Saccharomyces cerevisiae S288C: one gene and its partners. The gene in region 4 interacts genetically with the main gene of each other region. Each region holds a gene or a part of one and is shown on either strand. Other genes may lie near its edges.

Region 1 (7,137 bases), 290 kb from region 4:
TATAGAGACTGGGGTTAAGGTACTCAGTAACAGTGTCATCAATATGCTAATTTTGCGTATTACTTAGCTCTATTGCGCAAATGCAATTTTTTCTTACCCTGATAATGCTTTATTTCCCGTTCCGAAAATTTTTCACTGAAAAAAAAGTGCTTAAGCTCATCTCATCTCATCTCATCCCATCACTATTGAAATATTTTGCTAAAACATTATAACAGAGAGAGTTGAAAGGCTCGAGAACCTAATACTGAAATGGCCAAAAAAAATAGATTGAACACAACTCAAAGAAAGACTTTACGTCAAAAGGAAGATGAGTACATCGAAAACTTGAAAACCAAAATTGATGAGTATGACCCTAAGATAACCAAGGCCAAGTTTTTCAAAGATCTCCCCATTAGCGATCCCACATTAAAAGGTTTAAGAGAATCATCCTTTATAAAACTTACTGAGATCCAAGCCGATTCTATTCCCGTGTCCCTGCAAGGTCATGATGTATTGGCGGCCGCAAAGACAGGTTCCGGTAAGACATTAGCATTTTTAGTTCCAGTAATTGAAAAGCTATACCGCGAAAAATGGACCGAATTCGATGGGTTAGGTGCCCTTATCATATCTCCAACAAGAGAGTTGGCTATGCAAATATATGAGGTTTTGACGAAAATAGGTAGTCACACTTCATTTTCAGCTGGGTTAGTTATCGGTGGTAAAGATGTTAAATTCGAACTAGAAAGGATATCAAGGATTAACATTCTTATCGGTACACCTGGTCGTATTTTACAACATTTAGATCAAGCCGTAGGTCTAAATACTTCCAATTTGCAGATGCTTGTTCTTGACGAAGCTGATAGATGTTTAGACATGGGGTTTAAAAAAACTCTGGATGCCATCGTAAGCACATTGTCACCATCTAGACAAACACTTTTATTTTCAGCGACTCAATCACAATCTGTTGCAGACTTGGCTAGGCTTTCCTTGACAGATTATAAAACCGTTGGTACACATGATGTGATGGATGGGTCGGTTAACAAAGAAGCATCTACTCCAGAAACTTTGCAACAATTCTACATTGAAGTTCCTTTGGCAGATAAATTGGATATCCTTTTCAGTTTTATAAAATCACATTTAAAATGCAAAATGATCGTTTTCTTATCAAGTTCCAAACAAGTGCATTTTGTCTATGAGACATTTAGGAAGATGCAGCCTGGTATTTCTTTAATGCATTTACACGGTAGACAGAAACAACGTGCTAGGACAGAAACTTTGGACAAATTCAATCGTGCTCAACAGGTGTGTCTTTTTGCTACCGATGTCGTTGCTAGAGGTATTGACTTTCCTGCAGTCGATTGGGTTGTTCAAGTGGATTGTCCAGAGGACGTTGATACATATATCCACAGAGTCGGTAGATGTGCTCGTTACGGTAAAAAGGGTAAATCTTTAATCATGTTGACTCCACAAGAGCAGGAAGCGTTCCTAAAAAGACTTAACGCTAGAAAGATCGAACCAGGCAAACTTAATATAAAACAGTCAAAAAAGAAATCCATTAAACCACAATTGCAGTCATTATTATTCAAGGATCCAGAACTAAAATATCTAGGACAAAAGGCTTTTATATCGTACGTGAGATCTATATATGTGCAAAAGGACAAACAAGTTTTCAAATTCGATGAGTTACCAACAGAAGAATTCGCTTATTCTCTTGGTTTACCAGGGGCCCCAAAAATCAAAATGAAGGGTATGAAGACCATTGAGCAGGCCAAAGAAAGAAAGAATGCTCCAAGACAGCTAGCTTTCTTATCAAAAGCAAATGAAGATGGTGAAGTAATTGAAGATAAGTCGAAACAACCAAGAACAAAATATGATAAAATGTTTGAACGTAAAAATCAAACCATCTTAAGTGAACACTATTTGAATATAACGAAGGCTCAAGCACAAGAAGACGAGGATGACGATTTCATTTCTGTCAAGCGTAAAGATCATGAAATAAATGAAGCTGAGTTACCAGCTCTAACTCTTCCAACTTCAAGGCGAGCACAGAAGAAAGCGCTTTCAAAGAAGGCATCTCTGGCCTCCAAGGGTAACGCTAGCAAATTAATATTTGATGATGAAGGCGAAGCCCATCCAGTTTATGAACTTGAAGATGAAGAAGAATTTCATAAGAGAGGTGATGCGGAGGTACAAAAGACAGAATTTTTAACTAAAGAATCTGCAGTAATGGCAGACATTGACAATATTGATAAGCAGGTGGCTAAAGAAAAAAAACAAGAGAAGAAGAGAAAAAGACTAGAAGCCATGAGAAGGGAAATGGAGGCTGCTATGGAAGAAGAAATTTCTGGAGATGAAGAAGAAGGGAAGACAGTAGCATATTTAGGAACAGGAAACTTGAGCGATGATATGAGCGACGGTGATATGCCTGACTCGGAAGGCCACTTGAAAAAGAAAGCTAGAACTGTTGACTATTCCCACGGCCACAATCCATCCAATTCAGTTGATGATGACATTATTGAAGTGGAAGAACCACAAACTTTGGAGGATTTGGAATCTTTGACAGCTAAATTAATCCAGGGTTAAACCCTCCTGCATAGTCTAACCTATAGTATTTAGAACTTGTATACATCTATTCTCTACACTAATATACTTATTTCTTTGTTCAAATCATCGGTAATATTACAATAAAAGAAAAATATGCATATACTTTCGTGCATTGAAGGTGTCAAATGAAATCCCGCTTATAGTGAACAGGCTTCCATCATATATACATATATATATATGTTTATATATGTATATCATCACTTATGCTGCTCCAGGAGATGTAGGTATCTATTCTTTCTTAACGGATCCGCATCTATTAATTGGACCAAATATTGTTCCGAGCTTCTTTCCGTTAGAGCTTCCTTTTCTTCCAGAATATCTTCGAGAACTAATAAAATTTTCAAGCACCAAATATTTTGCTTCCCGGAAAATTCAATTTCGTCATTATTTATTAACAGAATGTTTTCTCTCAAGTCTTTCAACATTTTAAGGTACTCTTGTTCGTCCAGAGTTTTACAAACAATGTCGTTTTTAATGAACCACTTGATATAAAACCATACGGATTGGTCTTCGGCGTCGGTAAACATAGCGTTGATGATATAAGATATTTCAGTCCGAATATACTCCTTTTGATTCCCAACCTCTCCTTTCTGAAACATTCTGCTTATGATCTGTACTCTTTGGTGCCATGCAGAATAATTTGAAATGTTATTGTTAATCTTTATTGTTGTGTATTCAAACTCCTCCTTGTCAAGACTTTTATTAGTGATACTCTCTATGTTACCAACAACTATTCTGCGGTAATGCCATCCGTGGTAATTTCTTGCATCTTGTTCCAATAACTTATTCACGACAGCAAGTTCAGTTTGCCACACTTTAGGGGAACTCGTAGGATAATGTTTCAAGACCCAAAGTCTGTGATTCCATATCCAATAGACTTTGGGGTAATCCTTCAATAGCATCATTACAAAAACTAACTCTTTATCCCAGAAAGGTATTTCCAACTCAGAAGCCAAACTCGCTATAATATCCCTTCTGTAATTCCAAATAGCATTAAATTCCGGATTTTTCTCAAGAAGTTCTGATGTTTTCTTCAGAGCTTCAATTGAGTAAATTTTTTCATCTCTCATATTCAAAACATTTTCAGTCAAGCTTCTATAATCATATATTTTCTTTTCGTCTTGAACTCTCTTTTGTCTCAGTAATTCCTTGGTCCACTGTTTCCTTTTAATGCCATGCTGTTTAATGTGGCAAATATAAAAAATTGCTTGGTAGTCAGTAAAAAAAAGAATTCATAATGTAACGAACATTTGAAGTGCACATACCATTGCTGACCTACTGCTTTATAGTATAAATTCAGTATACTAGGTATATGTGGCTCAAAAATGTGGTTTTTTTCTTTTTTGCCTTTAATTTTTTTCAAATGTTTACGTATGGTTTATGATTTAACATTTCAAGAATAGAAATCGCCCCGAAGAATGATTGATGTTAAATACTCGTACAAGAGTATTGAAAACCACTTCAAAGGGGCCCAATAGCACATTTAATGTCACAATCAATATCACTAAAGGGTTCAACAAGGACAGTTACAGAATTTTTCGAGTACAGCATTAATTCCATTTTGTACCAAAGAGGCGTATACCCAGCAGAAGATTTCGTAACGGTGAAAAAGTACGATCTTACGTTACTAAAGACACATGATGATGAACTGAAAGATTACATTCGGAAAATTCTTCTACAAGTTCACAGGTGGCTTCTTGGTGGAAAATGCAATCAATTAGTATTATGTATTGTAGACAAGGATGAGGGAGAGGTGGTGGAAAGATGGTCCTTCAATGTGCAACACATTTCTGGCAATAGCAACGGGCAGGATGATGTTGTAGATTTAAATACAACACAATCACAAATCAGAGCTTTAATCAGGCAAATCACCTCAAGCGTTACCTTTCTGCCCGAACTAACAAAAGAAGGTGGGTACACATTCACAGTACTTGCATATACAGACGCGGATGCTAAAGTTCCGTTAGAATGGGCCGACTCCAATAGTAAAGAGATACCTGATGGTGAAGTAGTTCAATTCAAAACATTCTCTACCAACGATCATAAAGTTGGTGCGCAGGTCAGCTATAAATATTAATAGAATTCAAGTCAAAAAAAAAAAAAAAGACGGAAGTCCAAAAAAATCTCGTTTTCGATGTTTAGAAAGAATATAGATTTATGAACTATATTATACTATACTACGTACTTCCTCTGTAAACCACTTCATGCGTTTTTTCAAGTGCCTCTGTTAAAGAACCTTGAGTGAGAAACGAAGTCTTTGACACTCAAACTTTGCTTTTTTTGTTCTTCTTTTTGTTGTTGTATTTGAGGGGTGGATACTATCCTCTTCATAACAGGTGGTGATATTTTCAGATCTTGCCTCACAAATTTTGACCAATTCGGATCTTGCATCCTTGCCAAGTTGTTTTCAAATTGACCCAAAAGTACCTTGTCCCACTTGAATATGAAAAGATCGCGATTACTGTCTGGCCTGCTGCCCTCGTCAGTGTCGTCTGTTTCTAAGTTGTAGGCACTCCATAGCTTTTTCCATAATGCCAGGTCCCATGGAATGCCCTTTAAAGCGAGGACAAAAGACCATACCGCTGAATCAGGGTTATTATTGGTCAATTTGGAGTAGGTCTCGTAATAGTCATCAGCGGAATCCAGAGGAGCCATTAGAAGTTTAATAAACTTCAGCAGCTGGTCTATATTATTGTCTGCATGTCTTTTCACCCTCTTATAAGAGGTATTTTCTCGCAAGTCAGAATCGTTACTTACACTTTCTGGTAAAGTGTGAAAAATCTCCTTCAGCAATTCTAAATCAAGGAGAAGCTGCTCGCCAATGTTGACAACAGTTCTGGTTTCAAATTTCCTTTTGCTGCCCGCCAGGGAAAAGGGTGGAACGGGCTGCAGAAGGCGGATGGTATTGCTTACAAAATTTGTAGTGATGATATCAATCACCTTATCCAAGAAATTCCACTTATAAACATCTCTATTGAATTGCGACAAAATAAATGCCAAAGTCGAAGGTTGCTCTTGCTGTTGTTTAATAGAGGCATCTGTTAATGCGGGCATTTTAAGTACGGATTTGAGGGTTACCATGTACCTGCTATAATCTTCTATCGCAGCATTTGACCAATCATTGTTGATAAACTCTCTCCATACAAAATTTAGATCTAAGGGTATGACACGGTTTAATAGAAAAGAAGTTCCTTTTGCTAGTAAATCGTCGTATATATTTTTCGTTTTCGTAAAACTGTTTGCCAGCTTTTCACGATTACCGCTGAATTCAGATAATTTATCCTCCAATTGATCTATAGTCGTGGCACAATAATCTGCAGTATTGATCAATAAAACGGTATACTTGGCAGCTTCTAGCTTATCCTGGACTTCAATATTGTCGGGCAGCAGTAAAGGAAGAAGAATTTTTTGTGAGTAAGTTTGAAGCCATCTACTGAAAAAATTTGCCAATGAAGTCAATATGCTATCATTGGCATTATTATCAATGAGCTCTAAGGTCTGAGTCAGTACGGAACGATATGTCCTGAAAAGGTCTGCACTCGAGGGTAACACGAGAGATTCTGTTTCATTAGATGGGTACTTCGGCTCACTCATATAAGAAAGAAATTTCTTTTCCATCATTTGGTTTTGGTGAGACACCCATAAAGTCAAATAAGGTTCGAAGCAGGAACTTAGTTTTGGTTCCTTAATTTTTTTTGAAAATCGTACGTCGATGTATTTTTCGAAATCTAGCGTCGATTGTAATGCTGTCATGAATAGATCAATGGAAGGGTTCTTGTCTTTGAATTCCCTTTTCAGAAGTGTCTGAAGGTCCTTGTGTGTAATGTGATAAAAAGTGGTGGTCAATCTGACTGCCATTTCCCAGTCTTTTAAGAAATAGTCTGCGAACTTTGAATTGAAGTTATTAAGAATTTTTTTGAAGTAAATGTATCTTCTCGATAAATTTTCTAGGGATCCGGCTTCATCGTCGACCCTAAATATCTCTTTCATTTCGAAGAGAAGTTTGTCCAAACACCAATCTATCATCTGGGCTCTCGTACTTGTATCGCAGTCGAGTAGCTCGCAGGCACCTTCGCGCAATTCCATAGTGAGTGCTGTATCATGCTCTGAGATATTGCCGCCGGAAAAGAGCGCATTGTAGTTTTGTTTAATTTTGGACAAAGTGTCTCCTTTCAGTCTTGAAATGGAGCTCAACAAATAGTTTATCTCGTCCAATGATTTGTAAGAGATGAATGTGTTTTCAGCAAGCGAACACATTATCTTATAAGGGGACACCATTTTTTTGAATGAGCCCTGTGAGAGTAATTCATTGCATTGTATGTAACTGTCTGTCAATATCTTTAAATTTTGGAAAAGAGTCAAAGAGTGGGTGAGGTTTTTCTTGGCAATGTCCAGGTACGAGATACCTTCTGTCAGATTCGATATCGTCAACTCGGTGGAGGCTGAGACATCTTGAGTTTCTTTGAAATCTTGGAAAACTTTCCTCAGAGAAGCCTCTATTTCAGCGGAATTTTTAGGGTGTTCCTTCAATTCATTCTCTTCTTTGAGAATATC
Region 2 (8,388 bases), on a different chromosome or scaffold from region 4:
AAATACTATGATCCCAAAAATCCTAACGACCTCTCTGACGAATTGAAATATGGTAAAGAGGCGCAAGATTTAAGAAGCAGATTAGCCGCTGAACTGAGAGCCCATGTTGCTGAAATTAGAAATGAAGTTCGCAAATTACCACGCGAAGACCCTAGGTTCAAATCCCCCTCATGGTGGAAGCGGTTCAACACCACGGAAGGTAAATCGGACCCAGATGTTAAAGTCATTGGCGAAAATTGGGCAATAAGGAGGATGCAAAAGTTTCTGCCTCCAGAGGGTAAACCAAAGGGTAAGGATGATTGAAATTTAAGCAATTAAATTCGTGTAAATACTAGCATGTATGAGGTCATTTTTACATAACAAATATTCATTACTTACTTTGCTTTTTATCTGTGCGCATTAAAATGAGTTTCATATATAATATAGTTACATGTGATGAATGTATGGACAGTCTCTGTCATTTGTCAAAGGAGTGAAAAAGACCAGAAAAGGCCTTGACCTCATTTTCTACTAACCAATCTGGTAGAATTCACTTTAGACGCAAATCTTAACGAATTGAGAGTCTCATTAATATGAGAGGAGCTTGGTGAAATGTTTACAAACATTAATGTTTTCGAATCCCCAGTGAGTGAATATTGCAGTAGGTATGTCAGTTTTGAGTTCCTGAACGGTATATGTCTTTTGGTACTATCAGGCTGACCTAAAGCATGAATAACGTCACCTAAGCAACTTAAAGATTTATTTATATTTTGTGTTTCTCTTAATCTATCCCCTACAACTTGAGAGACATTTATTCTTTCGGAACCGGCCAAATCAACAAGATTTAGTGTGCCATACGAGTGTGCTCCAGTTTTTGCATTTGATCCAGACAAATGAATTATGAAAATACTGTGTGAACGGGAGGAATGCTCATTTGATGCTGTGCTAGCGGTGGATCTTAATTTATTTGCTTTTTTCAGGATTATTTCCACCATTTCTTCCGACTCAAGCTTGCAACTCGTAACATTCGTTATCGTGGTAGTCTTAGTTTCCTGATCATGACGTATTTCGTGCTTTAAGCCAATGCTTGTGTCTTCTTTATTATTATTATCACTTCTCAATAAGTCTACGATGTTCTCGTTGTAGATCTCAATGAATTCGCAGTTAACTTTATAATCCCATCCTTTTGTCTTTAATTTATTGATCCAGTTAAATATATGAGATATTGTGGACGGAATGATACCATCACCTGGATTTAACATCGTGAAAGTTTTCCCAGATCCTGTTTGTCCGTATGCGAAGATACAAACATTATATCCATCTAATGAACTTTGCACTAACTGACCAACTTCTTTAAAAACATCCACATTTGTATCCTGTTGATCAAATATTTTATCAAATTTGAATTCATGCACTTGCGCTGTGTTTTGTATTTTCGTCACTTCCATAGATTGAACACCACTATTGTCATCAAATTCATTAACATTAATAAGGCTAGTATCAGAATTTTCCAAATTTTTTAGAGCTGGACGAATCCTACAATAAACTCGTATATTTCCTCTTAACTCTTGTAACTCATTATGCAATGTGCGTCTAACCGTTTCCTCTTTAATCAGAATTTCATTCAACTCCTTCATACCCAGTTCAGTGTCTTTTATATATTCCTCAAGTTCTTTGATCTTTTCCAAAGTTTCTAAATTAGTTTTCTGTTTTAATGCCACCTCATCTCTCAGCCTTGTAGTTTCCTCTTCCTTTTCTTTAACTTTTACTTTGATAGCTTCATACGCGTTACGCTTTTCTGTTAAGAGCTTCTTTTTTTCTGCCAACTCAGGTTTTAATGTATTTTCGATTTCCTTTTTTATGCTTTCGATTTCTTGCATATGTTTATTATTCAGCTCTATATCCTTTTTCCACTGCGATTGGTACTCTGTAAGCCATTCTTCTTTTTCAAGCATATGCTTTTGTTCAACATCGTTCAACATTTCCTGTAAAGTGGAAGGGTTCATGGTGATTTTATTTCTTACCTCTTCTATTTTATCTAAAAGCGACGCTCTTTCATTTTCAAACTGTTTAATCTTCATAAATTTCAATTTCTCAATTTTTGTTTTGTATTCATTTTCCATTTGTTTCAGCTCTTTTTTATTAGATGCCGCTAGCTGCTTTAAATGTATTTCATGTCCTTCATTCATGAACTGCTTCTTTGACAAAAATTCTTCTTTAATCGAGATAAGTTCATTGTTTTTCAAATTCAGTTGCTGTTCAATTTTTATCTTTTCTTCACGAAGGGTTTCAAATTTGAGATTAACGGCATTGATTTTCTCTTTCGTTTCTGTTAGTTCATCTTTGAGTAAATCTAGTGTTGCCTTTTTCTCAAATAAGATTGCTTGTGTTCTATTGAGTTCATTAACATTTTCTTTATAAAAGGAAGTTACACCGGAGTTGCTTTTCTGGTTTCCATAAATCAAATTTGCTGTACCTTTATAATTCTTTAAAAGCTCGCGATTAGGTGACATGGATATGCGACTCTGACTAGCTAATGAGTGTCTATGAATATCCGTACGTTGCGGCTTCAGAAGAGTGTGCTTAGGCGGTGGAGTTGTTGTATTTCTTCTTTTGTGGCCATTCATAGCTAAAATATCATTCTTCGGCGATGGTGTCGAGAGATGCTGCGTAGATCTGCCTTTTGTGGGAGTACGTGGAAGTGATTCCATAGTTTAATAGTTGCCAGAATTTCTCTAAGTCCTTTATTTCAAAATCTACCTTTTTTAAACAAAGACTCCGGATAGTTGTTCTGGTATATTCAAATAGAATAATAAGAAACACAAAGAGCGGAAAAATTGATAGCTTTAATGCTTATATAATATTCGATAATTTTTTTAGCTGTAATACTCATCATCATATTTTGATTCGAGGCGCATCAAATTGTAAACAGTGTTTGTTTTGATTTTGTTTGAGATTCATTTTGGTGTATCTCCATTACCCTCTTATTGGAAAATTTTGAAAGAAAAAAATCTAGGATTCGATGCCCATAAGATATAAGGAAAGGTAATAAACAGATGCTATGAATAAAGCGATAGAGAAGCCGAAGGAAAATCAGTACATAATTGATCATGGGCTCCAAGCACAGAGTAGACACTAAGGATAAGAAAAGAACCAGAAAGAATGCAGAATTTGGGCGTGAAAAAAGGAATAGTGGCAACCAAGAGTTAAGTAATGAGCCGGAAAAAGATACAATAATGGAAGGTGATGAAGCCGAAGAAGACGAGCAGAATAGCTCTAGCGATGAATCATCTAAAATTATAGATAACGAACAAAGTGATGCTGAAGAAGATGATGATGAAGAAGAAGAGGACGACGACTTCCCAAGAAAGAAAAAATCGAAAAACAGCAAACATGATGATGGTTCTACTGGATTTTCTGCTGCAGTAAATGCTATTTTATCATCACATCTGAAAGCATACGACAGGAAGGACCCCATCATGGCTAGAAACAAAAAGGTGCTGAAGCAAAGTGAGTCAGAAAAGCTAGAATACAAGGCCAAAAAAGCATTGTTGGCAGAAAAAAAAAAGTTATTAGGTAAAGCCAGAAAGACGGATATTATTCCAATTGCTTCCGGAGAAGACAGGTCAGAAAATATTAGAAAAGTCCTTGAGAAGGAGACAGCGCTCAGAAAGATAGCTCAAAAAGGTGCCGTGAAATTATTTAACGCCATTTTAGCAACTCAAGTCAAGACAGAAAAGGAAGTATCCGAAAATTTAAGCGAAATTAAGAATAAAGAAGAAAAGAAAGAATTGATCACTGAAGTTTCCAAAGAAAAATTTTTGGATTTAGTTAAAGCTGCCGCAGGAAGCGACAATGAATAATCAACATGTTCATGTCAAAAGAAGAAAAAAAATAAAGAAATAAAAACTGTATATTATTTAGTCTATGTCAAGCGAGAAAGGGGCCCTATATCTTCCCTCCTCCTTGCAATTGAATTTTGTTTGCATTCTATATTATCATATAGTTTCATATCAATTGCAAAAACTTTTGCAGCCAATGTTACAAAATTGTTTTCAATCAAAGAAATACAGGTGTGGTGTCCTTCACCATCGATATATTAATATTAATATATCATGAATAAATATAAAAATTCAAGGTAATGTACTTGTGCACTTCTTTTAGAATATAGCAATTTCCCTTAGCTCTTTTTCAAATTGTAATTCTCTACAATACATAAAAAGAAATTGATCTTTGGTTCAACTTTATATATCGCAATAAGCAATTCTCAACATTATGAAAGTTTATCTAAATTAAACAATCTTCAACAATAGAATGGTCTCTTGGCCCAGTTGGTTAAGGCACCGTGCTAATAACGCGGGGATCAGCGGTTCGATCCCGCTAGAGACCATTTATTTTTGACCCAGGTTTTTTTCCTAGGCAAAATTGATAACAGGGACTTACTATTTTCTATTTTTTTTTTTTTTTACATCTCAAACAAGGGAAATCGATGACTCTGTTGATATAAATGTATATATACACACTTTTAAAACTTCGTTGTTCATCTTCGCTTTCACCATGCTACCCCAGGCAAGTAGACGTTACCTTGGGATGACGCTTCGCTATCGCCGTCTTCATTATCAAAAACGTTTGTGAAAGCCTCAAATTCTAACGTAGGAAGTGTCTTCAACTTTCTTGAAGATTCTGCATTGAGCAAAGAATCATAGTTCCAGTCTAAGAAATCTTCCATGTTATAACTTAGCTTCTTAAATGGTTGAGCAAATATCTTCGCCAACGTGGCTACATTAGGATGATAATGTTCCATCAATGACGCCAGCTCCCACAGAGAGGAATCCAGTGCATGAGTTAACTCAGGGTCCGATTCATGAACATCGAAGGGATCTACATAGTTTTCTTTCAGAGTTTTCAAGTTCGCCACTTGGTCAGGTGTCTGGAATGGGTTGGAAATGAAGGCTGGGTTGTGCAGCATAATCATACAATTCGGATGTTTCCTGATTAAATTATAGATGAAGGGAATCACGGTGACAATAGCAGAGGGTGGTGATTCTAGGGTGAGTCTGGCTAGCTTTTTGATGAAAGATGCTACTAAATGGGCGGATAAATGTGTTGATGACAAAAATACGTCCATTAACCTGAAAAATCTTGCTCTGTATTTAACATGCATTAAGTCTGGATTTATAATTTGATAAAGTTTCATATAAAAATTTGGATATTCCAAGTTGAATCTTTTCATCAATTCAAAAAGGCCATTCAGAGCCAAGATCGGAACAACACCGGCGTTTTTATTAGAGCTTTGCAAATTGTAGGAATCAGTAAGGAAATCCATTAGTTTAGTTGGAGTGTGGAAATGAGGTATTATTCTCTTATGCAAAATTAACAGAATAGACTTATACTGCTGTAAAGACAATTGGCCGTTTAAAAGGGATAACCAATTTTTCTCGAAATTGGACTTGAATTTGGACTCGTTCTCTATGGCTTGTGGGGGATTTGGTACAAAGATCTCTAAATCTGCATCAACACTAGAGCAATGTTTGTCATGATTTACTAAAGCTAACCATTTACCAACGTTTTTCAAAAGCAAGTCCTGGTAGGCTGGATCCTCTAATAGTTGGTTAAATTCTGATTGAAAGTAGTATTGAATATCTGCAAATTTCGTATAATATTTTTCCGTGAATTCTACTATGATTAAATTTTCAGACGCACCCGAGCTTTTGACATCCTCTATTTCACCCATGTTCGAGGACCATAGGGCGATGATTAACTTTCTGAATGTTTTATTGGGGAAAAATGGTGCGCCCTTTTCAGATGCAAAATGAGTTGATTCCAGCTCTGCAAGTTGAAGATAGACATCAAGCGAATCTAACCCAAGTGATGTTTCGAAAGGTATGTCCGAAATGATAGCTAACAGCTTCGTCTTGAACGCTTCATACACCTTTCTACACCAATTAACAAACTGTTCCTTCTCTAATGTGCTCTTTTTGGACGAAGGAAGGGTCAAGTCGCCGCGGGAAAACAGCTTTCTAAATATCTGGAATAGCGACATAACCAGAAATCTCAAATTTTTTTCTGTCTCATCTTCTTCCAATTGAGTAACATTTTCTGGAATCACTAGTTCATTGATTAACTTGATAATGGAGTTGTACTGCTTTCTGTCACCCGCAGCAGTCAGCCTCTTGGCAATATCTTTAATTTCTGATATAAGCAATACCATATTCTTTGACGTTTCTTTTTAATAGATCTCTCTTCATGGCAATAGAGGATGATAATTACATCTCATCTCATCTCATCAAAACCGTAATACACTTTTTTTTTTCTCAGTTGGAAAATTTTAGTGAAAAATTTCAAGAATAGCCCTAAACCTTCAAATACGAGGATTACCCGTAGAGAAGTGCTGAAAAACTTTTTTCTTTTTCTTTTTTTTCGATTTTCATTTAACAGGTATAAAAAGCGAAACACTCGGTACATATATTTTACCAAGACGCGTTAGATTTTCTTTGGAGGTTTCATTTAAAGAAACCAATGACCTTCCAAGTTTTTAAAAGAATACGATGATATTATTTGCGTTTCAAATCGAACAATTCTTCTCGGAGCGATCTGAGGTTTTAATGGAGATAGCGGTTCCTGCGCAACCCATTGATCTTGTTACATTCTTAAGAATGACAAGGACGCTTTTATAAAATTCTGATTCTTTTTTCTTTCATTCTTTTGTTGTTTTTGACTTGGGAGTAGTCATCTCATCTGTACACAAGTAGCTTTTTATATGTTCTTAAATTGTAGACTAGTCAAAACTTGTGTCCTTTAAACCGTGCCGAAACAGTTTTAAAGCGGACATCCAGGGAAACTTGCCGTTAACAATAAGTGACCTTGCATGGAAGACTGTCGATTGGTCTCTGTGGAAACCAGTGCATATCTAAATTAAATCTATTGTCATCACGAATGCCGCCCGTGTTCGTGCAACGTGAGCGCAAATACGCCTGGGGTCTGTCTTTCTGCGCTGGAAAGCACCTTCGGGCATCAACTACCGTTTCTTATCGCTGGCACTATCTATCCACCAATCACACGGCAGCAGTACTGCTGCCGTGGACGGCAAATTAGGTACAGGGCCTATGACTGTTATCATTTGGCAGGCTCAGACAGAGAGAGAGAGCACAAGGAAAAGAGCCTTAACTCATGTAACATTTGACTCATTCTGTAAACTGAAAATTTGCTGCCCACTCGAGATGACAAATAGTTCGTTCTTGAATTTATGCGCATTTATAGATACGCATATATAACCCTATAGTGAACGCCACTAGGAGACAGATTCTGTTTGGACCCTGATCGCATACTCTTCTTACCTTTACATAATAAAATAAGAAAAAGTATAACTTGCTTTACGCTAAGGATATAAATCGGACGTAACTTAAGATGTGTGGTATTTTCGCCGCTTTCAGGCACGAAGACGTGCATAGATATAAGCCAAAGGCTCTACAACTATCAAAAAGAATCAGACACCGTGGTCCAGATTGGTCCGGTAATGCTATCAAGAACTCCACTATATTTGTTCATGAAAGACTAGCCATTGTCGGTGTGGAATCCGGTGCTCAACCAATTACTTCTTCAGACGGAGAGTACATGCTATGTGTTAACGGTGAAATCTACAACCACATTCAATTAAGAGAAGAATGCGCAGACTACGAGTTTGGAACACTGAGTGACTGTGAGCCTATCATCCCAATGTACTTAAAGCACGATATCGACGCTCCTAAGTACTTGGATGGTATGTTTGCTTGGACTCTTTACGACGCTAAACAAGATCGTATTGTGGCAGCCAGAGACCCAATCGGTATTACGACATTATATATGGGACGCTCTTCCGCTTCTCCAAAGACCGTTTATTTTGCATCCGAACTAAAATGTTTGACTGACGACTGTGACACTATCACTGCATTCCCACCGGGCCACGTATACGATTCTAAGACTGACAAGATCACCCGTTACTTCACACCAGATTGGCTGGACGAAAAACGCATTCCTTCCACCCCAATAGATTACATGGCAATTAGACACTCCTTAGAAAAAGCCGTTAGAAAGAGATTAATGGCCGAAGTCCCATACGGTGTTCTATTGTCGGGTGGTTTGGACTCCTCTTTAATCGCTTCCATTGCTGCCCGTGAAACTGCAAAGGCCACTAACGATGTCGAACCATCAACTTACGATAGTAAGGCAAGACATCTAGCAGGTATCGACGATGACGGTAAGCTACACACTGCTGGTTGGACAAGTCTCCATTCCTTTGCCATCGGTTTACCAAATGCTCCAGATTTGCAAGCCGCAAGAAAGGTTGCCAAATTCATCGGCTCTATTCATCATGAACACACCTTTACATTACAAGAAGGTTTGGATGCTTTGGACGACGTGATCTACCAT
Region 3 (8,040 bases), on a different chromosome or scaffold from region 4:
TCTGGTCGGAATTATGCTGCACAAAAAACCAGTCGTATGCAAAAAGAAAGAACTAAACTACTTCAACCCACCAAACGGCTCAACGTGTGGAGAGTACATGAAACCCTTTTTGGAAAAAGCTACTGGTTACATCGAAAATCCTGATGCTACGTCAGATTGTGCATACTGTATTTACGAAGTTGGAGATAATTATTTGACACATATCAGCTCTAAGTATAGCTACTTGTGGAGAAATTTTGGAATATTTTGGATTTACATTTTCTTCAATATCATTGCTATGGTTTGTGTGTATTACCTCTTCCATGTAAGACAATCTTCCTTCCTAAGCCCCGTATCTATACTCAATAAAATTAAAAACATAAGGAAAAAGAAGCAGTAATGTGGGCTTCAGATAACTTAACATTTTGTGCATTCATCTGCCTTTAATTCTTAATTCTCATTTTACACTATAGAAGAAGACACGAGTACATCTCGTTTCACTTTTATACTGACATTCATATAATTAACAATAAGTATAGTTTATAATAGATACAAAAAAAAAGTCTTGTATTACCATGTTAATAGTTACATTGTGTATAACTCTCGTAGTTTTCAAAAGTCAAGTCTTGTTGAGTAAAAAAGTTTATTTTACCCTTGGGTTTCGACTCAAAATATTGGATTACGATCTAAGCAAGGTGTTGCAAGTACAAGCTAAACGAAAAGAATAAGACAAAAAAACTGAGGCTCCTCAAACTGGTCACCAAAATTGAACTTCAAATTTAGTGTTTCTACATTTTTTCTATTTTGTTTCATTTTTATATCCCTTTCATATGATTAACAAAACTTGGTAAATTATCTGGCCTGTCAACCCTTACCTGTCCTGTCCCTTCTTTAGACAAAAGAAAATAAAAAAATTGGACACAGGAAAACAACAGCCTCCATACCACAGTTTCTGTGTCTTATTCTATTTAGGAAGGTCATTCTATATTACTCAAAGGAAAGACATCCAGTAGAAACAATAGTGTTGCTAAACGGTTAACTTGCCCACTAATGTCTGCTTATATTTGCAAATCACTATTGTGGCAAGTCATACCCTGGAGCTTTGTGATTGAACAACATATACTATATTGCAGCAGTATTTTTCAGAAATAATATTCGAAAGAAGTGAGAACAAGAAATGACCACGATAGATTACAGCTGACCAACTTAGAAAATGAGTAAACTTATTTTTGTCTTAAGAAGTGCATGCAGCGACCTCTCCCAATTACCAAATTGTAATTTTTTATTATTCTTTTTTTCTGCATAGTTCATTCGACAGCTTGGTTGAAAAGAGTGATAAAAATTTTCTGTTTTATGAAAAGTTTTCATAACTCTATTAAGGGTTGCACTATAAGAACATTTCGCAATAAAGCAACCCTTATCCGGACCCTACATGTTCCGTAAGTCCTGCCTTATTTATCGTAACGGTATTCATCTTACAGGAATTTTTGAATATAGATAACGTTAGTTTTGATAGATTGGAACAAATGGGAAAATAACAATTTAGAAGCGCTTTCCTCAGCGTATCTGAATTATAAAACAACTGCGCATATTGCTAAGAACTGCACTGAAGGCATGAATTGTCTATTCCGTTAGAAATATAATTATTTACGAAAGCATCGCGCAGACGCAATTTTTTTAACATTTTTTTTTTTTCAAGTACTCTGGAAAAGTTTTCATGAAGATCATGAATACGTTACACTACTATTATTATTGAAAATAATATTTCTTTCCTATCAGCAATCGCTTACATATTCATAGTCATTTACTAGGGTATATACCAATAATAATGTCCCGTCCACAAGTTACTGTTCACTCTTTGACTGGTGAAGCTACTGCCAATGCCTTGCCATTGCCAGCTGTCTTCTCCGCTCCTATCCGTCCTGACATTGTCCACACTGTTTTCACCTCTGTGAACAAGAACAAGAGACAAGCTTACGCTGTTTCTGAAAAGGCTGGTCACCAAACCTCCGCTGAATCCTGGGGTACCGGTCGTGCCGTCGCTCGTATTCCAAGAGTTGGTGGTGGTGGTACCGGTAGATCCGGTCAAGGTGCCTTCGGTAACATGTGTCGTGGTGGTCGTATGTTTGCTCCAACTAAGACCTGGAGAAAGTGGAACGTTAAGGTTAACCACAACGAAAAGCGTTACGCCACTGCTTCTGCTATTGCTGCTACTGCTGTTGCTTCTTTGGTCTTGGCCAGAGGTCACAGAGTCGAAAAGATTCCAGAAATCCCATTGGTTGTCTCCACTGACTTGGAATCTATTCAAAAGACCAAGGAAGCTGTTGCTGCTTTGAAGGCTGTTGGTGCTCACTCCGACTTGTTGAAGGTCTTGAAGTCCAAGAAATTGAGAGCCGGTAAGGGTAAGTACAGAAACAGAAGATGGACTCAAAGAAGAGGTCCATTAGTTGTCTACGCTGAAGACAACGGTATCGTCAAGGCCTTGAGAAACGTTCCAGGTGTTGAAACTGCCAACGTTGCTTCTTTGAACTTGTTGCAATTGGCTCCAGGTGCTCACTTGGGTAGATTCGTTATCTGGACCGAAGCTGCTTTCACCAAGTTGGACCAAGTCTGGGGTTCCGAAACCGTTGCCTCCTCCAAGGTCGGTTACACTTTGCCATCCCACATCATCTCCACTTCTGATGTCACCAGAATTATCAACTCTTCTGAAATCCAATCTGCTATCAGACCAGCTGGCCAAGCTACTCAAAAGCGTACTCACGTTTTGAAGAAGAACCCATTGAAGAACAAGCAAGTTTTGTTGAGATTGAACCCTTACGCCAAGGTCTTTGCTGCTGAAAAGCTAGGTTCCAAGAAGGCTGAAAAGACTGGTACCAAGCCAGCTGCTGTTTTCGCCGAAACCTTGAAGCATGACTAGAATTTATAGTATAGATCTTTAACTTTAATTTAAATATCTTTGTTACTAGTCTTTAATCAAACCTTTTTGTTTTCTTTAAAGTCGAAACGTCAGATTTGCTCAAAACCTTCTTGTCGTTACAACGCGAAAATTGTAATTTAAAATAACTAACGAAGAAAGCTGAAAAATAGATGTGAGGGAAAATCGTTTATAAACGGCCATGCTCACAGAGAATCATGTATGGAGATTTAGGTAATAAATTAGTATTAGAAGCTAAAAGAACAAAACAGCTGTACGCAAGAAGTAATCAAGATGTTAATTTACCCATGTATCATGAAGATATAATACGAAATATTCTGAAAGAAGTTTCAAATTTACGTAAAAATACGGAATATCTTAAAGAACAGCAGCAACTAGGAATGCTAGATGATAAGGTGGCTAAATGCCAGTATTTCGTTACCTTGTTATGTATGGAAAGGAACAAGAGATGTCTCTTAGCATACCAAAGGTTGAGAACAGACATACTAGATTCTATGGCTTGGAATAATAATGGTCTGGACTTGATGAGTAGCATTACGTTTAGCCAACAAGACACAAATAACCTTTCTCATCAAGAGCAGGAATATTTGAAAGAATACTGCGATTTAATTACTGATTTAAAAAGTGGTGACTTGGTCGATATTGATTTATCCGGCTCTTTAGTGCCTCCGAGCGATGTATTTATTGATGTTAGAGTGCTCAAAGATGCTGGTGAGATTCAAACTGAATACGGCGTGTTTAACCTTATTAAAGACTCCCAGTTTTTCGTAAGGCAGTCTGATGTAGAGCGTTTGATTCAACAAGGTTATTTGCAGAAGATATGATAAAATGCTTTCAAGCTGGTCTTCATGATATATAATCCTTTATAAAGCAAGATACATACCTCCATTCTAATTTACTCCCTTCTATGTTTACTTCAGCCCTTTTTAATAGATTTCGTAAGTTTTGGTTGAGGAGGCTTTCTGAGCTTTACGCGACTTTATTGATGACGAAGCTTCACTTTATTATAATAATGAAAAACTGCGCAGAGAAACTATCGCAAAACGAAACCATCTTCTTACCCTAAAGCATCCTGTTTCTGAAAAAATGAGAGCATATGGAAAGAGGGGCCCAGTTCTCAGAACTCCTTTTAGATCTAATAAAGGCTTGCCATCTTCTTCCGATGTTGAATTTAGTGATGACGATGTAAACTCCGTGATTCCTGATGTAAGTTCTACCATTTCGAGCAGTATTGCAGACCACCCGATAGAGGGATTATTGGACGAGCCTAGAAAGGCTCAGGACAGCTCGTCGTCATTTGATGGTGCAAATGAGAAGCCCTCTTCACAACTGGACTCAAAAAGGAATGACCAAAACGTCAAAATTATCACTAGCAGTGATACCTCAATGGCATTTATGAAAGATGAAAAGTTAAGTGCCTTTAATTTCCTTGATGGTTCAAAGGCATCTAAGAGAAAAAGAAGAAGAACTTACCAAAAGCATGATGCGAACATAACGTCTTCAATTGAACCAGACGTACAAGATGAAGACAGCATTACAATGCACAATGAATTTGAATCAATAAGGAAAATATACAATGACATCAATGAATTCATATTGAAGCTACCGAGAGCTGACGATGATATACTGAATAAAATGCTTGAAAATGAGATGAAGATGGACGACTCTATAGAGAATAATAGCATACGCACATCCAAAGACAAAAAATATGGCAAATTTAGAACAATATTAATAAACAAAAATAAAGAAAATGAAATAATGGGAGAAGAGGTAGATCAGAAAGCTAACACCTTGTCCCTAAATAACGCTGACAACAGTAATGCTGAAAAAGAAGGATTAACTTCAACAAATCACTACAACGAATTAAAAAATATGGGAGATACAATAAAATACCAGGATGATATTGAGTTTCTTCTGTCCAATTCTAAAAGTAATGACAATACTACGGTACCAATCAATGAATACTTTAAAAAACTTTTAAATTTATCCCTAATGATTATTAATGACGAAGAATTTTTTCAATATGCGAAAAGATATTTCAAAAAGGAAATAATTAAGCTTAGTTTTGCGCAATTTAGATCGGATTTTCCTGAATTAATCTTATTACAGGGTTATTTACTACATAAAGTTAGTGAATCACAATCCGATTTCCCGCCAAGCTTTGACAATTTCTCTATCGAATTAAGTAAAGATGATGGTAAAATACGGACAAAAAAGAATAAGCATATTAAAAAACTCTCACACCTAAATTTCGAAGACTTTCTTCGGAAGACTCAATTCAAAACGGGACTTTATTATTCATTATCACTCTGGGAAATGCATGGTAATTTATCGTTAGATATAATCAAGAGAATCTCCATCCTTGCTTCAAATAAGGACTTATTCAGTCGGCACGTTAAGACTTTTATTCCTCTTTTAGAAAAATTAATAACCGCTTCCGAATTTTGCCACATGTATATTGAACAACCTGAAATGTTCGATTCACTGATAAGCAACTTGAATAATCAGTTTAAGGATATGCTTGATGATGACTCGTTGATTAAAATCCTAATCTTGTTAACAAACATGGAAGTACATAACTATACGCTATGGAAAGAGGCAGATATGATATTTCAAAGTTCAATGAACACAATTTTGGAAAGCATACATCCATTGACAGACGCGAAAGTTGATAACATACTCTTGCATTTAGGGCTCTGCCTCAATATTTGCAGTAGAGAAAATAGTCGTTTAAAACTTGACGGCAAATTATGGTATGATATGAAAACTATATTTGTTAAAATGATCCGTGACGGTTCTGACACTGAAAATAGGTTAGTACAGGGCCTGTTTTACTTAAATTTTTCATTTTTAATTAAACAACGGAAAGAAAATAGTAATTTAGACCCAGGGGAGCTCAATTTGTTACTAGTAGAGCTGGAAGCATTTAAATCGGAAACATCTCAATTTAATGAAGGTATTTCAAATAAAATCGAAATAGCGTTAAATTACCTAAAATCAATATACACGAGTGAAAGAATTACAATATAAAGAAAGCATACATTGAACATAGCCTGGCTTCATCTTCACCCTGCTGGCAACTATTGAAAAATTGTCCAGAATTTATTATGTTATCCTTAAATTAATGAATGCCATGCACTTGCTTAAATTTTGACATCGCTTTCAGTGCATTGAAGCTACCAGGATCTTTGATGAGCCTTCTAGCGTATTTTTTTGTATGCCTTATGGCGCTTTTAATATGTTCATCTACAATTTCTTTAAAATGTCAATGGTAGCTTACTTTTTAAGAGTTATACTCCTGACAATTTTTTTTCACGACATAAGTTTGGTGGAAAATAAATGCAGTATTATTTAATTATTTAATTAATTTCCTTGACTGCACAATTCATCAGGAGCGTTATACAAATAAAAGAAATCATACTGTTTCATATTAAACACGAATAAGAAATTCAGGTTGAATTACTTGGTGTGATTATTTATCATACGCATAATATCAAAATAACTAATCATAAAAAAATATGAGCAGGATCTCCGCACCTTTTAAAAAAGGTTGAAAGGGCTTAAAAAACTGAAAGACTAAAACCTTTTTTTCGAGGCATAGGAAGCCTAGAGTACTTCGGGTAGACGATATAACAATGCAATAAAAATAGTATATTAATAAACATACGAAAAAAGGTTAATATATTCATTAATAATGTACTGATGGTAATTAATATACCGCAGAGTCTTGAAACTCGGCGGGTAAAAATTCTATATCCCATAAGGTCCATCAGGTGACTTTTTGTGATACTGTGTTATTGTTACTTTAAATTGGTTAATTATTCAATCAATTTCCAGTGATACAGTAGAAAACAAAGTCAAAGAATCGCAGTACCCGCTGGTCACGCCAAAAAAATAAAGCTTAATGTTCTTTTAGTCAACATATTCACTCAAAGATTGCATGATCACCATCAGAATGTGTGAGTAGGTTAGGCTGAACGGCAGTAGGAGCAATTACGTATGTTAGTAAATGGAAGGAGACCAGCATTATGGTTTATCTTATTTGGTCTTCCGTACACAAATAGTAGTGAATGTATGGTAAACATGCATGCGATGACTTAACTAAGGATTTACTGGTGTTGGATCAAATTTAATCTCTGCATGTATAGGCTATTCAATAATCATGAGGCGTTAAAGGATAGTTTACTTATCATTTTTCCTTCTTGAAGCATTTTCCCAGAGCTGATAGATATATTGAAGTAGTACTTATATACCTTTCAACTGATGCATGTGAATGCCTGCTTGGAACATCGGGAATAAGAATTATAGTAACAATACCAATTTCTCCAGCGGATTTGTCTATTTTCTTGGTACTTCATGCAAGGTGCATCCTTTTTCTCTTGAAATTCATTCTGAATGGCCATAACTGCCAATGTTCACCATTCCTAAAGACGACGTGTTTATCACTCCTAGTTGCTTGGAAGTTAGACAACATGAGGAATAATAACCTCAAGAGATTAAAAAATGCAAGTAACTATATTACATATTTATTATGCACACTTTGCCTTGCCACTTGTGTAATAGACCTGGGTTCTTGCCGAGGTGATATGCTCTTTAATAAAAGATCACCTCAATTCAAGACTAAAAATGGCGAGGTATAAATCTGCGTCGCTAACATGTACAATATTTTAATGTATACTCTCGCATATTTATATTTTCGTTTTTCACGGCTTTAATTAGCGTACGTGGTTTCTGATTTTTGCTTGAGTAATGCACTATTTATTAAGATAGCCGCCCAGGTTAAATTCTTGAATTACAACTACATGTCAGAGACGAACGAAAGAGAGAAATCAAGACGATGCAACAAAGATCAAATAGGAGAAGCTGCTCCTATATACCACTCGGGGTACATAATAATGCCGAAAAGAGCTTGTGCACCGAAGTTGCTCCAGCAAGAAAGAACAAAAGGTCTATTACGACTTCTCCCATAGTCAACATCAACGTTGTAGAAAGAAGACTGTTTAATTTGGAATTGGAAAAACAACAACTTCGTGCCAAAAATCTGTCTGAGAACACAGGTGGCGGAAGCCCCAATGGGGGTGCTTATCTGGACGCCAAAAAAGGAGTAAGAGAACAAGATCAATACC
Region 4 (7,271 bases):
CACAATGGCTGGACTTCGGTGCTTTGAACCAACATTTCGATTCCTTAATTGGTAAAAAGGTCCTAATTGTGGATGAAGTTGACGATACTAGAACTACCCTCCACTATGCTGTTTCTGAGCTGGAAAAAGAGATTGCTGAACAACAAAAGGTTTTGAATAGAATGAGTGAGGAAACCGTTATTTCTATCTTTGTTCTACATAATAAGGACAAACCAAAGAGAGCTGGACTACCTGACTCCATGATGAATTCTGGACGTTACATTGCTGCGCAAACTGTCCCTGATAAGTGGTTGTGCTATCCATGGGACGCTGAAGATATCGAAGAACATACCATGCTCGCTAAGGCTCAAGGTCATGACTGATGACAAACAGTATGTTGCGATGGGGTTGCATGTATATAGATACATATAGTTATCATTGGTAATTATTTCATATTTAACCTAAATCTAAAGATAAGAGTGTATTTCTAGTTATCTCATTTTTCCTTGCATTTCTACCATTTGTTGAACTTGTTGATGCATCATCTCTTTTAAATCGGACACATCATTTTCTAATTCCTCCACTTGTTCAGTCTTTTCACCTAATAGTTGTAAGGAGGTTTCCAATTTACTTTGCATCTGCTCAACTCTTTTTAAGAGATCATCTTTCTGTTTATTTACCTCATTGAATTTATCGTTTTCTTCCAGAAGTCTTAAAATCTCATCATTTGCTTTTGTCTTTTCTTTCAGTAAATTATCGTATAATTCCTTTGATGCTGATAATTCACCTTCCAATCTTTTTAACTCCGTACTTAACTTGTTCACCAGATGAGCGCTTATGTGGCCGTTAGAATTCGATAGCTGGACGCTAGCTCTTCTGTATGGTATTGATGTGTTGTTTAACGAGTTCATTGATTCCCCTTCCCTGATTGCTTGTAAAGCAGCGGCCTCTTCTGGAATATCGTCAATGCTGAAATCCACATTTTTTCTATCAAAATGTTGGCTTTCTTCGCTACATATGGTTTCGTGAGATTCATTGTAAATGGGTTTTAGAGACGGATCGCTTTCTAATTCGCCAAGTTTTGACATTGATAATGACAGCATAGAATTTTCTTGAGGTAAAGTCCATTCGTCTTCTATATTTCCCTCCATGGAGTTTAAACTATCTGTTAATTCTACAGGTATTTTATCTATAATTTTCTCATTGCTGTTTTCTTGATGTGGTTTTAGTTCGTTCTCTTTTTGTTCCAACTGAGACCTTTGAATTTCGTACTTCTTCTTCAGTAGATTATAATCATCACTTATACTTTGCAATGATGACTTCAATGTCTCCGCCCGTCTCTCCAAGTCTTTCACTTCCAAAACTGCCTTCGAATGATTCTCTTTTTCTTTTTCTAATTGCTTACCTAATGTTTCAGATGAACGTAAGGCAGTTTGATATTTTTCTTCAATATCATTTTTTTCTTTCATTGTAGATTCAAAGCGGTTTTCCAAGTTCACAATTTTAGTGTTCAAAGCGTATTCAATACTATCCCAGTTGGCCTTTGATGACTCAAGCTGTTCTTTGAGCCGATTGTATTGGAAAGATGCGTGTTGTTTTTCTTCATAACTTTGTTGGTCATCGACAAAATCTCTATTTGATTTAGCGTCTAAATTTTGAGTAGAGCTATCTAATTCTATTCTTAGTTGTTCTAGTTTAGTCTCTAGAGTGGTAACTTGATCAACTGTTGCTTCTTGTAGTGCTTTCTTTTCCGTTTGAAATTCACTTTTTTCTTTTTCAAGCAATGTTCTCATATTATCTAAAGATTGCTGTAAAATTGTTATCAAATCATCTTTTTCTTTTATATTTTTCTCTAATGTTTCAAGTGACTCTTTTTGTTTATCTGCATCCTTTAATTTATTTGTAGCTTCAGCCAGTTGTCCTTGTATGTTGTGATACAATGATTGCAGCTCATTATAGTTTTCGACACTCTGAGCAGAACTATCGTTTAGTTCAGATACCTCATACTCTAAGTCTTTCACTTTTGTTCTTAAAGCTTTGATTTGATTTGATTGCCTCAGCTCAGTTTCCGCTAATTTAGCTCCTTCTTTTCTCAACTGATCTATCAAGTCGTCCTTCTCTTTAATCAATTTGAAAAAACTAGAATCCGTGGTTTCGATTTGTGATTTTCTGTTTAGTTCGTTAGTTAGGTCATCAATCTGTTTGTTTAATCTTAAATATTCAGGACTAATTTCTTTGACTAATTCTTCAACAGTAAATTCAGTGTAATTTTTAGGTAGCCATGTAGGCAGTGATACCATAGTGTCGTCGAAGCAATCAGTCCTATTGTGATCGGGATGCACCACGTCATCGACAGCGATTGAATCTGCCTTACCTGTATCGCCTTCCACAGTGCTTTCTGATCGTACCGCAGGATCATCTATGTTTTCAGCATTGTCAATTGACACCACACCGGCAGCCGCATCATCAATGGATGTACGAGCACTTTCTTGTTCATTGTTTGACAGCACCACAGGCGATGGAGACGACAAATTTGACGTTGACCTTTTATTTTTCTTTCTTCCTTTCTTAGTTGCCAAGGAGAGTCTCTCTTCCAACGATAATTTTTTACTCATAGCAAAATTGGTATACCACTACCATACAACACTTTTTATATACTATTCTGGACTAAGGACCTTTTAACGACAGTCTATTAAAAGAGGAAGTCAAGAGCTTTTTGGTGAATAATCTACGGTTACTGCCAAATTATGATCTTCTAAATTTTGGCGCTTTATAACATCCTCACACCACTACGAAGCACACTTTGACTACGAAGTATTACTTAAGTTAGACTGGTCTCATTGAAATCTATTAGTTTGATGTATTTAGTCCCTGGATTTGTAGAGCCCTCAATTACTGTTATTATATTAGCCCTAAGTAATAATCTGTATATTGGTATCGTTTTAGATGAAAAATCGTTTAATGTCAGATTCAAATCATGCTCAATTAGTCTTTTCATTAACAGCATGACTTCGTTCGTTAAGCTATCTATTGATTCATCATTATCATCCAAATTCGGTACTAGATAACCCTTGAGAAAGTCCGCCAGTGAGTCCCAAAGCTCTTTATTTCTGGCTTTTCGTGTTCTAATATGGGCGTGATCTTGCTTCTTACTGTCCATAATGGTCATTTGATGCTGCAGTTTTCGTAGCAGCTCTTTCAAGTCACTATTAATATTATTCTGTAACAATAACATGGCCTTTTGATCAACTGATTGATCATTCATAAGCGAGAGCCATTCACTGGAACTTTGGGCTCTCAAAGACAAAAAATTCGATGTCAAACTGAAACCAATAGGATCAGCTCTCTCTGAGAAGAACATGGGTTTTCTTAATAACTCTGTAAAGACCTCAGAATTGACCGGTTTACCCTCTGTATCCAGAGATCTCTTCGTGATCTCATCGATGGCACCTTGAGCTTGCTTCAAGAAATATCGTTTGTTTCCGATCTGGTTCTCCAGGTTCTTTATGTAGACATCCAGGACATCCTTTTCAACATCCATGTTTCCTTTGTGAGACTTTCTGCCGTTTGCTCTTGTCCCTCTTTGTCGTCATATGCGTCTTGTTTGTTGTTACGCTGCATATCAAAGCGAACGGTTAGTTATTAACTAACGTAAAAATTGATGGAAACATTCATTTATATGAAAGTATTGAAGAAGAGGTAAAAAGGAAAACAAATTTACAAACAACAAAGAATGTCTTCTCTATCAACGTCTGATTTGGCCTCCCTTGATGACACTTCCAAAAAGGAAATTGCTACTTTCTTGGAGGGAGAGAACTCCAAACAAAAAGTCCAGATGTCAATCCATCAATTCACTAATATATGCTTCAAAAAATGTGTTGAGTCTGTCAATGATTCTAATTTAAGTTCGCAAGAAGAGCAATGTTTGTCTAACTGTGTGAATCGGTTTTTGGATACTAATATCAGGATTGTGAACGGGTTGCAAAACACCCGTTAATATGAAACCGATTTATCTCTCCGAGTCATTATTCTCTTTACCTTAATATATCTGTAAATAAGCAAATGAATATTTTAATATATGTCCAAGGTTTCTTTAAAAGGGATTCTTCAGCATAAAGGGCAAATAACTCTTTTTGTTTATATACTGTCTAGTTATATATATATATATATGTATATGCATTTGTCTGTGTCTGTGTCTGTTTCCTATGAGAACTCAAAAAGTAACTGAAACCGCGGTTGCTTAGATAGAGTCGATAACTGTTCACCCATAGCGCAGTCACAATTCAGCAACCAGCTTATCGTTTCCTTACATTGTTGTAGTATTGATTCGTTCAACGCATCCTCTTGCGAACACTTATCGTATGTAACTAGAATTAATGATAAAATGTCGAATCTGTGAGCCACTATTCTTTCATTCGGGCAAACCTTTATGAGAGTACTTACCACTGAAAGAGTTTTTGAAATAAGTTTTGGAAAAGTTGTGTAAAAAGGATTTCGTACAATATATTCACCTAAAACAAAAATCAGCCTCTGGAGATGTACAACAGACCCTTCTCTTTGAAGTCTCAGTATGTTCATTGTGCATTCCAATGCGTATAACGTCAAATTTTCGTATGCAAGGCTAGCCCTAGGAATTATGTTTTGCAAGATTATCTCTGACATGAACTTTTCCAGGTGATATTGATACTTTGTGTAATTGTCCAAAAATTCTACTTTATATAACGACTGTATCGTTGGGAAAACGACCCGCCATATGGCTATTGTTTCATCAGCATTGTATGAGGGAGGGAGAAAATAGCACATATTGATTAGCGTCTTTTCGAACAGTGGAAATAAACCAGTACTAGAGAACTGTATCCATTTTGAGTCATTGGTTTCGTTCATAAAGGTATGATTTAATAGCGTCTGTAGGAGCAGAACACCACGAAGTTTAATTCTTCTTATATCAGTGGTATCATCTAGTATGTTTAGAATTCCTGGAATAATCCAAGAAAGATTCGTAGATATGTCTCTCCTTTTCAAATGTAACAGAATTACGTAGAATAACGGAATGCCTTTCAAGCCACCCTGACTTACCCACGCCTGCATTAGGTTATCTTCTTTCAAAGACATTCCAAGCGTGGGTTTGAGACCAAGATTACGTTGCTCTTTGAGTTCGAAGTTGCTTTTGCGTTTTAAAAGTAGTGGCTGTAACTTAGAAATAAGGACGCACATAATTTCGTCATGTTCACTTTTGTTACGCTGAAAGTAGTAATCTATAGTCTGCAAAACATCTGTGTTGATTTGTATGTCTACTCCTGGAGATATGGAGTGATATGAGAGAGATTCAATAAGGTTGACCTCATCGGACACCGTAATTGCACATCCAGTATCTGTCTTCTTTCGTAACTGGAGACACAACTCTCGAAGCCTTGTAGAAGAAAGACTCGAATCATTCAATTCATCGATGATATCAGTTACGGCCGTCATTCTTTTCAATATTTTGTTATATGATTTTATTCTTCACCTCGTTTTCATTCTTCATAGTTTTCGTTTCTCATCTGCTATTGAAAAACCGAACTAGCCGAAGGATAACAATAATGAGTCTTAACTGTTAATATACAAGATTATACAAATAAATATGTTTCTATAAAATAAAAAGTTATATTCAATTGCGAAAAAAATAAATAAATGTGGGAAGAAAACCCAATAGTATGTCCTACTATGTCATATGCTATCATTAATAGGCATCTTCAGACACATCTTCATGGAAGTATTTACCCTCGGTGGTTGGTTTAATGATACCTACTCTTATACAGAAATCACCAAAGTGTTCCCCTTCTTCTCTTTCTAAAGCATACCTTTTAAACAATGGTTTGATGTAGTCGACAATTTCCTCATCCTTCACATTGGCCTTATACAATTTGTTTAGCCTTTGGCCGAGGTAACCACCACCAAGCATCAAGTTATAAGTATGTGGAGCTTTACCAACAAGAGCTAATTCACCTAGCCATGGACGAGAACAACCGTTAGGGCAACCAGTCATTCTCATAATAATGGAATCATGGCGTAAACCATACTCTTCTAAACAATCTTCCAACTGAGTAATAATGTCAGGTAGGAAACGTTCAGATTCGGCAAACGCTAAACCACATGTTGGCAAACCAACACAGGAAGATGAAGATAATCTCAAACCGCTGAAATCGGTGTTATCCAATTTATAGGTCTTTAAAATAGATTTTATTCCAGCAACATGTTCATCTGTAATATTAGAGATAACCAAATGTTGATTACCAGTCAATCTGAAATGACCAGAATTAGTCTTAAGCATGTATTCAGCAACCTTTCTAATACCTGTCTTTTGAGGCAAATCTGGTGTATCTTCAACCCTACCATTTTCAATAAATGCGGTAAAGTGGTTTAACCCAGTTTCATCTTTAATCCATCCAAAGTAATCAATATTAGATTTAAACTCAAATGGTCTCTCAGGCTCGAATTTCTTACCCCAGTATTCCTCCACTTTTTGCTTGAAGCCTTCGACACCCATATCATCTACAGTATACTTTAAACGAGCATGCTTACGGTCTTTACGGTCACCGTGATCTCTTTGGACAATAACGATACCTTCAAGTGGTGGAATAATGTCTTCAGTTTTAACAAAACCTAAGCATGACCCTAATCTTGGGTAAGTTTTCTTGTTGTTATGAGTGGTACCCATACCACCACCAACAAAAACATTATAACCCTCCACGATTTGAGTTTCTGGGTTAACTATAGCAACTAAACCGACATCGATAGATAATACATCCACATCGTTATATGGAGGAACGGCGATGTTGAATTTAAACTTTCTTGGCAGATAAGTTGGACCGTAAATTGGTTCAATATCGACCAAAGCGTTACCGCTAACTAGAGTCTTCTTTTTTCTTGGACCATCTTTTCTGTTTTCAAAAATAGATGGCCAGGATGGATCATCGTCCTGTTCTTCTGGGCCCTCCAGCCAAACTTCGTGGTAGGCCGTAGTCTTTGGTAAGAAATGATCAGAAATCAATTTTCCCATATCAGCGATTTGTTGGTGAACCTTGGCATTGGTTGGTAGAGCAGAAACCATGACATTTCTGTTCACGTCACCTGCAGCAGCTAATGTATCCATAAGAACTGCATTCATTCCTCTCAATGTGTGTTTCAAGTTCTTCTTTAGCACACCATGAATCTGGAAGGTTGCCCTTGTTGTTAATTTCAGGGTACCATTGCCTGAAGTATCAGATAAGTGATCCAGAGCAAGCCATTGTTGTGGAGTGGTCTTACCACCT

What was found.
Region 1: mutations in MCM22 (region 4) and MAD2 impair growth when combined (synthetic growth defect), as found in Saccharomyces cerevisiae (6 studies listed by BioGRID, with this or other methods).
Region 2: mutations in MCM22 (region 4) and KAR3 together harm fitness more than expected from each alone (negative genetic interaction), as found in Saccharomyces cerevisiae (5 studies listed by BioGRID, with this or other methods).
Region 3: mutations in MCM22 (region 4) and RAD61 together harm fitness more than expected from each alone (negative genetic interaction), as found in Saccharomyces cerevisiae (5 studies listed by BioGRID, with this or other methods).

What each region holds. Positions count from the first base shown.
Region 1 is NC_001142.9:383,588-390,724, forward strand, and holds MAD2 (spindle checkpoint protein MAD2), read left to right. Parts: upstream 1-4,069; coding exon 4,070-4,660; downstream 4,661-7,137. Other genes in the region: RNA-dependent ATPase HCA4, read left to right, coding at 250-2,562; Rab geranylgeranyltransferase BET4, read right to left, coding at 2,781-3,761, 3,849-3,851; VPS53 (Vps53p), read right to left, coding at 4,798-7,137. UniProt on the Saccharomyces cerevisiae protein: Central component of the spindle assembly checkpoint which is a feedback control that prevents cells with incompletely assembled spindles from leaving mitosis. Thought to be recruited to unattached kinetochores by MAD1.
Region 2 is NC_001148.4:815,234-823,621, forward strand, and holds KAR3 (Kar3p), read right to left. Parts: upstream 2,691-8,388; coding exon 501-2,690; downstream 1-500. Other genes in the region: TAZ1 (lysophosphatidylcholine acyltransferase), read left to right, coding at 1-303; rRNA-processing protein RRP15, read left to right, coding at 3,090-3,842; ribosome biosynthesis protein NOC4, read right to left, coding at 4,532-6,190; ASN1 (asparagine synthase (glutamine-hydrolyzing) 1), read left to right, coding at 7,387-8,388. UniProt on the Saccharomyces cerevisiae protein: Minus end-directed microtubule (MT) motor involved in spindle midzone assembly, poleward transport of newly captured kinetochores along the lateral side of MTs, karyogamy (nuclear fusion) during mating, and with an essential function in meiosis I.
Region 3 is NC_001136.10:470,046-478,085, forward strand, and holds RAD61 (Rad61p), read left to right. Parts: upstream 1-4,000; coding exon 4,001-5,944; downstream 5,945-8,040. Other genes in the region: ATP-binding cassette transporter SNQ2, read left to right, coding at 1-379; 60S ribosomal protein uL4 RPL4B, read left to right, coding at 1,808-2,896; DNA replication protein PSF1, read left to right, coding at 3,112-3,738; HED1 (Hed1p), read left to right, coding at 7,752-8,040. UniProt on the Saccharomyces cerevisiae protein: Involved in resistance to ionizing radiation.
Region 4 is NC_001142.9:673,259-680,529, forward strand, and holds MCM22 (Mcm22p), read right to left. Parts: upstream 3,521-7,271; coding exon 2,801-3,520; downstream 1-2,800. Other genes in the region: XPT1 (xanthine phosphoribosyltransferase), read left to right, coding at 1-362; SGM1 (Sgm1p), read right to left, coding at 471-2,594; protein transporter TIM8, read left to right, coding at 3,713-3,976; TTI2 (Tti2p), read right to left, coding at 4,183-5,448; MET5 (sulfite reductase (NADPH) subunit beta), read right to left, coding at 5,699-7,271. UniProt on the Saccharomyces cerevisiae protein: Component of the kinetochore, a multiprotein complex that assembles on centromeric DNA and attaches chromosomes to spindle microtubules, mediating chromosome segregation and sister chromatid segregation during meiosis and mitosis.